Caenorhabditis elegans: one gene and its partner. The protein of the gene in region 2 interacts with the protein of the main gene of each other region in a pairwise test. Each region holds a gene or a part of one and is shown on either strand. Other genes may lie near its edges.

Region 1 (4,870 bases), on a different chromosome or scaffold from region 2:
TGCAAGACTAATATAAAAACTATTTTTAAAAGCATACAAAAACAACTGCTTTTTGATTCGCTAAAAAAGTAAGCTTTTTCATCATTTAAAACAAAAAAATGGAGACAATTGAAAGGTCTCGTCAAAAAATTTCAATCAAATTAAGACGACAAAACCACCACTTAACAGCAGCTAATCTGTTTTTTCTTCGTTTCTCTCATTCCCGTTCTCTCCTCTCCAAATAGGTTCACACCAGTATCATCATCTTCGTTCATATTATGTGAGGCCACTTTTCACAATGTGTGAATGGAGGATAAAGCTCAAAGGGTTACTTCTTAGGAGCAGCTAATGTCTTTCTATCCACTTCAAAATATTCTCATTTCAACTGGTTAAACTTCAGAAGGTCATTTCTCATCCTTCAACCTCCGGGGGTATGTCTAACTAATTGCGATGGAGACGTAATAACAACGGAAAAAATGTTGCAAACTACTGAATTACGCAACGGAAAAATGGTGGCGGAAAGGTACAAATAGAAGTGGACAGGTGTTGTTGTAACGCAAAAAAAAACTTATTCATCTGATGGAGACGTCGGGAAAAGGGTCTGTATTATAGGGGTTACAATAGAATTTGGACATAGAATATAATAATAGTGAGAAGGGCGATGTATATTGGTATGATGTATGAATAGAAGGCAAGAATCGACAGAAGGACCTAATTGTTAGTACGTACACTAGAAACAGATACCAACTTAACAACAGGAAATTTTAGCATAAAAATGCCAAATGTAAAAATATAATTTGATTGCATATTTGTCGGATAAATTATCAATTCGTCGAAATAAGTGTTTAAAGCTGACCATCATATGCTATATTTTCAAACGTACTTTTCGTGAGAACGAAACAAAAATGCTTTAGATGTTGTCAAAAAAAATCAATTTGGCTTGGGAAAATGGGAAAGTAGTTTTCGAATTGGCTTTAAAAACGAGAATCGTCGAAATCATCCACGAGTTACAATTTCAAAATATAGAATCGAAACACTTTAAAAACTTCTGTTTGATTTGATTTTAATTGAAAAAAAATACATGGAAATTGAAGTTTTCTTTAGTATTTGAAGATTGGAACGAGCAGCAAATTTGAAACTTAATCGCAGAGATTATTCGTCTAGTTATTTTTTTTTCGAAAAATTGAATACGATACAGCCAGAAGCACTGAATAGTTTTTTCTTCAATCTTTCTCCAAAAATCGTTCAATTCTATGAAAATTGTTTGATTTTGGTTTACAAAGAACAGGGAGTGAATGAGAAAAGTTTTCTTGGCACAATGAGGTTACGAGAAACGATCTGTAAAAAGAATGAAAAAAAAAACTGTTATCACTCACTTGTTCATTGCTAGAAATATGACTACTACTGATAGTTTCGAAATGTCCCGGTTCTTTTCCCATAAGAATCCAATAAACTCTTGCGTATGGATTACTAGCAGGTGGAGAACAATTTCTTTGGTACGGATCTCCAACTTCGACAACTACAACTTCTGGTTCCGCAGTTTTGAAATGACGAATCCATGTTTCTTGTACACGGACAGGACGATCAACAGCTGTTCCATTCGAATTTTCAGCTTCACATTGATATAATCCGGCATCAGATTCATCAAGACGGGAGAACACAAGGCTTCCTGGAAAATGTCATATTTATTTCAGAACAGGTTTTCTGAAAAACCGAACTTTTTTTTAATGAGAAATCAATATTTCTCGGTTTTTAGGCCTAACCGAAAATTTCGATTTTTTTTGGATTTGAGGAAAAACTGTTTTCCTGTTTTTCCTGCATGTGGGAGTTTTATAATTGCACAAAAATAAAACAAATTTGTTTATATTTAAATGAAGTGAACTTTTTTCAAATCAGAATAATAATTTGAAACAAACATTTAACTATTCAGTTACTCCATCTTTTTAATTTCAAAAATGTTCCATATTCTCTCAATTTTAGATTTTTACAACAACAAAAAATATTCACCTTCTCCTGGTTTCTGAACAACTTTCTCCGGAAACATGGACGGCAGGAACGTCTTACCATCCTTTTTCCAACGATATCTGTAATAAAGAAAATAGTATAAAAAACATATTTTGAACACTTTTTAATTCTGGAAGTTGAAAAATAAAAATGCAAATGGAAACTGTTCGTAGAGCATAATGTTGAATTTTCAAATTTTTTAATGCTCCACCAAAACTGCCAAAAGGATTTTAAAGCAATTTTAGAAGCAGTAAAAAGACTTCGAATTTTTTTTCAAATTTAGATAGAAACTACCGTATCTTTCCCAATTAGTATTGCATGCAAGTCTAATTTTCAATAAAAATTATTTTAAGATATTTGAAGATTCATTTTTTTTTCTAAATTTTACTTTTTCAGAAACATTACAAAAAACTTACGAAGGCCTTGGATTTCCATTTGCATAGCAATGAATCGTTTGTTCGAGCAGATTACCGGGCGTATTTTTCGCCGATTCATCACTCATTCCACTTTTTTCGACTTTAAAGTAAACGGTATCTGCATTCTTATCGTGAACAAATTGTGGAGGAGTTTCGATCGCTGACCAATCTATGCTGCCTGAAACAGTTTTTATTAGAAATGTTGCTACATATATATGGATATTTGACAATTGTTTCTGTTATAGAAATATTTGTTTTTTGTTCATAAATTTGAGCACATCAAATGCTTTTCAGCGTTTTTCTCAATATTATTTATTTACAATTTTTTTCTATAAAAAGGCTTTGAATATCTTGATTCCATATTTATTTTCATTTTTGCCATTAAAAAACAACAAAAAAGGGCGTAAAATGATGTTGCAATCAAATATGTCAACATGAATCGCCAATCAAACAATTTTCGAAGCGATATGATGTCCTCGACGTCAAAAGAATTCTCACCTGATGATATGTGGCCAGTGAGTAACAAGAGGAATATGAAGCTCCTCATGATGGTGGTCTTTCGACGTGATCTAGAATCGCGTCGAACTTCGTTCGATACTCTTTTTCTATCCTGAAATTGGAATAAAGCTTGCGAAGAATTTTGAGAGAAGTTCGGAGAAAAAACAACGAGAAATGAAAAAAAAGGAAACGTTAAGAATTAAACAAACATGAATTAGTTTGAAAAAATAGAATCTTCCCTCAATTTTCAAGAAAATAATTGTACTACTACTTGTGCAAATGAAACTATTCTCGTACAAAATCTGATTCATCTTTAAAATTTCGAAAATTGGGATTACATTAAAACCGGAAAATAAACGAAAGACTTTAAAATCAGAAGAATGAAATAAAGAACTTCTTATTTTGTCTAGGTTTCTCCTTTTCCCGATTATGCAAATGAAAAAAAGCGAGAATTCATGGGAATCTACCCCGCTGACCGAAAAGTGACCATGAGGAAGCACGTTGGATTAACGATGAGAATAAGAAATTAAATCTGTTGTTTGATTCATTACGAAAATAAAATTAAGAGAAAAAAGTTTCGAAAATTATCAACAAAAAAAGTTATTTTTAAAAAAGTACAGACAAAAACATAAGGTGGAAAAAATGGAATGCAAGATGAGAAAAGAAGGGCATGAGGAGAAGTCAACGGGGGTGATAGATGTATTCGTTGACAGTCCACACACACACACACACACACACACACAGAACCGACGCAATCTGCGCATGGCGGTAGCCGATGGCATTGTACTTTACCGGTTGTCTCGTTTTTTTTTGCAATCAGAACGAGAGCTGCTCCATTCTTCAGAAGCGGCCGTTCTTCAAGGACGTTTTCAGGAAAGAAAAGGAAAAAAGAAAAATGCGTTCGCGTCACGCTACTCGATTTTTGTTGCTCAAAATGTTCTACGCACGAGATGTCACCTATGAGACGTATGGATGCGTGGGTAAAAGAATAACAAGACTTCAAAGATTCTGGGCCACAAATCATTTACGACAGAAAATAGGTGATTTTTATCCGAAAAAAGCTAAATTTTCAACACAGCGCGTCTGAAACATTCAAAACGGGAACATGATCAGGTTTTTAACGGAAAATGTGATTTAAACGTTATTTCGAATCGAAAACGACTTTCAGATGTTTTAATTTACTTTTAGACTAATAAATTTTGTAGTTTTACAAGTAAAAACACTAGAAAAACAGAGAAAATTCAGAGTTTTCGTTAAAAATCGTTTTGGCGGCGAAACAAAACAAATGCAAGTACTGTAGCAAAGGCGCGCAACAGAGCGCACATGCTCGGGTCTCGAAACGATTGCAAAATTTCTGGTCTACCTTTCGATCAAGCCTAGTTTCTCTATTGAATTATTCGTTTTTTCTTTGGATAACGCGATTTAAAAATTTTTTTTAAAAAAATTATTTCTAAAATAAAAAAATACAATTCAGTTTCATCGACTTGGAGACATGAAATTTTTGATGCGAAAAAAAAACCTGTGACACCACAGACTATATACTTCCGGAGCATTGTGCTAAGTCGATCGGACAGATTTCTCGAAATCCTTTCGTCCGCATTACTCTCTATATGTCACGGAAGAAGGTCGTAAAATGAGTGTGTCTCTGAGCCAAAAGAGGTCTGGTTATTTCTCCAAATTCATAAAATTTGGATTTGGCAGTTCACTCTCTTTTCCTCATTATTCATAACACATCAATCTTGCTTTCATGAACACCGCCACGATGAGCAGATCAAGCAGAACATAGAGAGTAGCTTCAACAGCAGTGAACATCAAAAAGAATGAATTATTAAATAAAGTTGCTATAGAGAAATGAGAAGGCACGCTTTAGATGTATCAATATAAGGATGGGTAGGGGAAAAAGAGGGTATCTTCCGTTTTCTACAGCGGTCGGTCGGGACGGTAATAAAACAAAAAGGACAGAAGACGAACAC
Region 2 (5,104 bases):
CTACGCAGAACTCAATCTCAAAGTCGAATAATTTTTATTTCATTGTTTTTTTGTTTGATACCTGTTTTGATTACCATTTTTTATCACTATATTTCTGACTTCTTTCTCATTTTTTTTAAATTTCCGGTCGATCTTTCACAGACACGATTGTATCCGTGCAGTATTTGAAAATAACAAATTTTTCTGATTTCTGTGGGTTTCACGTGAAGATCTTCTTCAAGAAGAGGTCATCAGATTGCGGAAGATCTATATTACCGATCTGACGCAAGACTACCATGTATATTTGGAAAGGAAAAATTTTCTGTGCAGAGGTTGATGGTTTAAATTTTGATTTAGATATTTTCTTCATTTAATTTGAAAATTTCCATGCCTGAAAATATCCTCAGTGAGGATTCTCACCTACCGTATACTTAAAGGCGCACACCTGTCTCAACCGGAGCGTTGCGAGACCCGCGGCATCAAACTACACACTGTGTTTTGATGATCTTTCGATCGTTCTCGAAAAAAGAAAGAGCAGAGTTCATTAAAACAAATGGCGGCAAAATGTCTATAAAGGCGAGTCGTTCTCTTCATTATCTTTTGATTTTCGATGTGTTCTCCTTATTGTTTTGTTCGTTGACCCCTTATCTGCATTCTCACCGCTACGCAACGTATATTTAACGTCAGCTTTTTCGCAGAAAATTTTTCTATATTCTCATGCAAATTTACTGTTCTCAATGCTGGACGTGTCGCTTGTGCTTTGATCTCAAATCTAACATTTTCCCTTCAAATATTTTATATCTGCAACGGTGGGGCAGAAATTTAAAAGTTGACCTTTGTCAGCCAACTGCTATCAGTTATCAGTTGGCCGGAGATCTTTCTATTTTCACTTTCTTGCAACGTATTCAGACATTTTTTGATGAATCGGTTCACAGAATTTTCGTCCTGATGTTGGTCAGTGATGCGCCAGCCGGAAATTAGAACCGTATGCCGTTATCAATTTTTCAAAGGCTAAAAAGTTATGAGGTGTATTTATTGTTTTAACACCTGACCTGCTAGTAGGAAGGAAATTAATTTTATGTTTAAATTGAAATGAAAGAGTCGAGCTCCACGTGTCGTCTCCCTAGTTTCTCTATTCCTCTTCTTCTCCGCCTATCTCTCGGCTTCTCTCCTTTCGCGCTCCTCTCACAATTCCTCCTAATCGTGCTGTTTTTGGGGTGGTCCAACACGGCAAAAAAGGCAGCAAAAAGTGTCTGCCGTCTCGTGCCTCTTTCTTATTGAAAGGGCACGAGAGAATAGTATCAAGAGGCTCCTCGTTCGGGCCGTTGAAGATGGTATCTGGTGCTTCGGCGGAGACGGGAGGAGCGGCCGTTTCTCGGGTCATCACAGCCCATTCCTTCTAATGTTTACACTGAACTTGTCGCAATCCCTCCTCTAAATCTCATTCATCCATTCATTCATATTCGTGTTATGTGTTCGCTTTTACATAATTTCCATTTTCACCACGTTTCTCCTCAAATTTGCATTATTTAAATCTCTGCCTTTTCATAAACATTTATAATTTTCAGGGTATCACCTATACTAACCATCCAAAATGTGCGGAATTTTCGCCTACCTCAACTTCCTGACACCGAAAAAACGATCGGAAATCGTGGATATTTTAGTCCAAGGATTGCAAAGAATGGAATACAGAGGCTACGACTCTGCAGGAATCGCCATCGACGGATCCAATGAGATCGAATCACCACATTCTTCGGTAGCACTTCTGCGAAAAGCTGGAAAGGTGTCCGTGCTCAGCGATTTCATCAAGGAGAGCTCCAGCGATCTTGACATGGATATGGAGTACAACATTCACTGCGGAATTGCACACACTCGCTGGGCAACTCACGGATCTCCACGTGATGTCAATTCCCATCCACATCGCAGTAACGACAAGAATGAGTTCCTCGTTGTTCACAATGGAATCATTACGAATTATCGTGAAATCAAGGAGTATCTCGAGAAGAAGGGACACAAGTTTGAGTCGGAGACCGACACGGAAGTCATCGCGAAGCTTGCGCAACACATTCACGATCGTTACCCGGATTTCTCGTTCCGGCAACTTGTGGAGACTGTCATTCAACAGTTGGAAGGAGCTTTCGCTCTTGCATTCAAGTCATCTCGATTCCCAGGACAACTCGTTGCTTCAAGACGTGGATCCCCATTGTTGGTCGGTATCAAGAGCAACTCCAGACTCCAGACAAATCACTTCCCAGTCTCTTTCTCTAAAGGTTAGTTCTTGAAACTTTTGGTGCAATTTCTAAGTCGTTTCGAGGCGGACATTCAAAAATTTCATACATTTTAGATGCTGGGTGGAAATGGGGAGACGAAAAACAAACTGATGGTAAATTTAAAAATGCTATTCCCTGGGTTTATTTTGGTTGCCTGAAATGCTTAATCACTGCTTAACTAACCTAACCTTGCATGATCTTTAAAAAAATCTATTTTATTAACAATCAATATGATTTTTCAGGACGTCGGTTCATGTCCAACCACGCTACTCATTGTAAGTTTACCATTTTCCAACCTTCTTCTGATATTAAATTCAATTTTTCAGTGCGAGATGAGACATCGTTCGTCGAGACTCCAAACAACATTCTGGACCTGTCAATCGGTATGGGTTCCCACTTTCATATGAATTTTTAATAGCATATTAGGTTCCCAAGATGTTTGCAACTTGCCGGTGAATGTAGATGATTCCCAGAGAAGATTGTCAGCGTTTATGAATTCTCTGAACGGTAGAAATTTGAAGCATGATTATTCTTGAACTCTTTCTCCACTTCTAAATCCTTGGGCGAATTAACTAACTCATCTCAATATCCCCAATCTCAAATTTTAAGTGAAACGTATTAATTCCATTTTTTCAGCCGTTCGTTCGTCTAATGGATCTGCTAAGATGGAGATCTCCGACAGCACGACGGCCGTCCGTCCATTCGACTCCGACGATTGGGAGGTTGAATACTTCGTCGCTTCGGATGCTGCTGCCATCATTGAGCATACCAAGCAAGTCCTTTTCCTAGAGGATGATGACGTTGCATTCGTCGAGGATGGAGCTCTGACTATCCATCGCATCTCTCGACACGCTGACAATGGAGAGCAAAAGAGAGAAGTAAAGCTTCTCGAGATGGAGCTTCAGGAGATCATGAAGGTTTGCATAGGAAAATGGGAATAACTTGAATAAAAACATATTTTTCAGGGATCTTTCAAAACGTACATGCAGAAGGAGATTTTCGAGCAACCGGATTCGGTAGTCAACACAATGCGTGGACGTGTTCTTCCATCGGGACAAGTCGTTCTAGGAGGAATCAAAGAGTACCTTCCTGATATCAAGCGTTGCCGCCGTCTGATTATGGTAGCCTGTGGAACATCCTATCACTCTGCCATCGCATGCCGTCAGATCCTTGAAGAACTTTCTGAGCTGCCAGTCGTCGTCGAACTTGCTTCTGACTTCTTGGATCGTGAAACCCCAATCTTCCGTGATGATGTATGTCTCTTCATTTCTCAAAGTGGAGAGACTGCCGATACGTTGTTGGCTCTCAGATACTGCAAGCCACGTGGAGCTCTCACAATTGGAGTCACCAACACTGTCGGATCATCCATTTGCCGTGAATCTCATTGCGGAATTCACATCAACGCCGGACCGGAAATTGGAGTCGCCTCTACCAAGGCCTACACTTCTCAGATCCTATCCTTGCTTATGTTTGCTCTCACCCTCTCCGATGACCGAATCTCCATGGCTAAGAGACGTGAAGAGATCATTGACGCTCTCAACGATCTTCCAGAACTTATCCGCGAAGTTCTCCAACTCGACGAGAAAGTTCTTGATATCGCCAAACAAATCTACAAGGAGAAATCACTTCTCATCATGGGAAGAGGATTGAACTTTGCCACATGCCTCGAAGGAGCTCTCAAGATCAAGGAGCTTTCCTACATGCATTGCGAAGGAATCATGTCTGGAGAACTGAAGCACGGTCCACTTGCCATGGTCGATGAGTTCCTCAGCATCTGCATGGTTGTTTGTAACGATCGCGTATACAAGGTAAGAATGAGCTGAATTGTTTTTTGATTGAAATCATTTTTTCAGAAATCGTTGAATGCACTTCAACAAGTCGTTGCTCGCAAAGGAGCTCCAATCATCATTGCCGACTGCACCGTTCCAGAAGGCGATCTCGCTGGAATGAAGCATATTCTTCGTGTACCAAAAACTGTTGATTGTGTCCAAAACATTCTCACAGTCATTCCACTCCAGCTACTCTCATATCACATTGCTGAGCTCAATGGAGCTAATGTAAGTTTACAATCGTCTTAATCTTGAAATGTACACGTATAATCTATTTTCAGGTCGACCGACCCCGCAACTTGGCCAAGTCAGTTACCGTCGAGTAAAGCGTCCCGTCTTCTGCCCAAACCACCCCAAGTGCCTTCTCACCATCTCGTCTTTTCTCCCACTCTGTGATTATATTTCCCTCACCAATTGCCTTCCCTAATTTATTGCATGTAATCTGGTATACCCAGCGATTCGACCAATAAAATGTGGTTTCCGGTATGCAGTGCATACTATGCACTTGTTGAGCATTGAGAAAACTGGGAACACCTCTAGTATGCTGGGATCGAAGAAGTTTCAACTTTTCATAAGCAAAATTCAAACTTGTAGGCTGAGTAAAAGTAAATATAAATAAAACTGAATGTTTACCTCTTTTCCGGTGCAGATCTGCTTTTCGTAGATACCTACGGAAGTTTAGTTGGTGCAGTGAAGTGTGCACTAATTCTGAATCTCGGAGGGAGCTCACCCGCCAACAAGTCATTATATTAGTTTAGCGTTTTTCAATTTTCTAGGACACCTCCTATTTATATAAATACTATTATAATTATTGCGGATGCGGTACGGAAAAGTCTACTTTTATGATCGTATGGGAAATCGAGAGCCGAGTGAAGCTGATAAGATAAGAGGTTTGAATCATGTGAAGTGAATATAGATAGAAATTATGTTTCTGGGTCCTGGAACAAACAAAAGAAATGGTGTTATTTTCTTGAAAAGACGTGTGCGCCTTTAAGCGGAGTACGGTAGTTGTTTCCTCTAATTTTC

Evidence for each region.
Region 1: the proteins of gfat-1 (region 2) and sax-7 interact in a two-hybrid assay, tested with the Caenorhabditis elegans proteins (one study listed by BioGRID).

Annotation. Positions count from the first base shown.
Region 1 is NC_003282.8:8,060,808-8,065,677, reverse strand, and holds the start of sax-7 (Neuroglian), read right to left. Parts: upstream 3,020-4,870; 5' UTR 2,947-3,019; coding exon 2,898-2,946; intron 2,578-2,897; coding exon 2,400-2,577; intron 2,064-2,399; coding exon 1,987-2,063; intron 1,649-1,986; coding exon 1,356-1,648; intron 1-1,355.
Region 2 is NC_003280.10:11,591,852-11,596,955, reverse strand, and holds gfat-1 (glutamine--fructose-6-phosphate transaminase (isomerizing)), read left to right. Parts: upstream 1-1,546; 5' UTR 1,547-1,573; coding exon 1,574-2,249; intron 2,250-2,323; coding exon 2,324-2,362; intron 2,363-2,491; coding exon 2,492-2,524; intron 2,525-2,575; coding exon 2,576-2,632; intron 2,633-2,885; coding exon 2,886-3,166; intron 3,167-3,214; coding exon 3,215-4,057; intron 4,058-4,102; coding exon 4,103-4,306; intron 4,307-4,359; coding exon 4,360-4,404; 3' UTR 4,405-4,563; downstream 4,564-5,104. Other genes in the region: npp-5 (Nuclear pore complex protein 5), read left to right, coding at 1-31; F07A11.1 (uncharacterized protein), read left to right, coding at 4,896-4,968.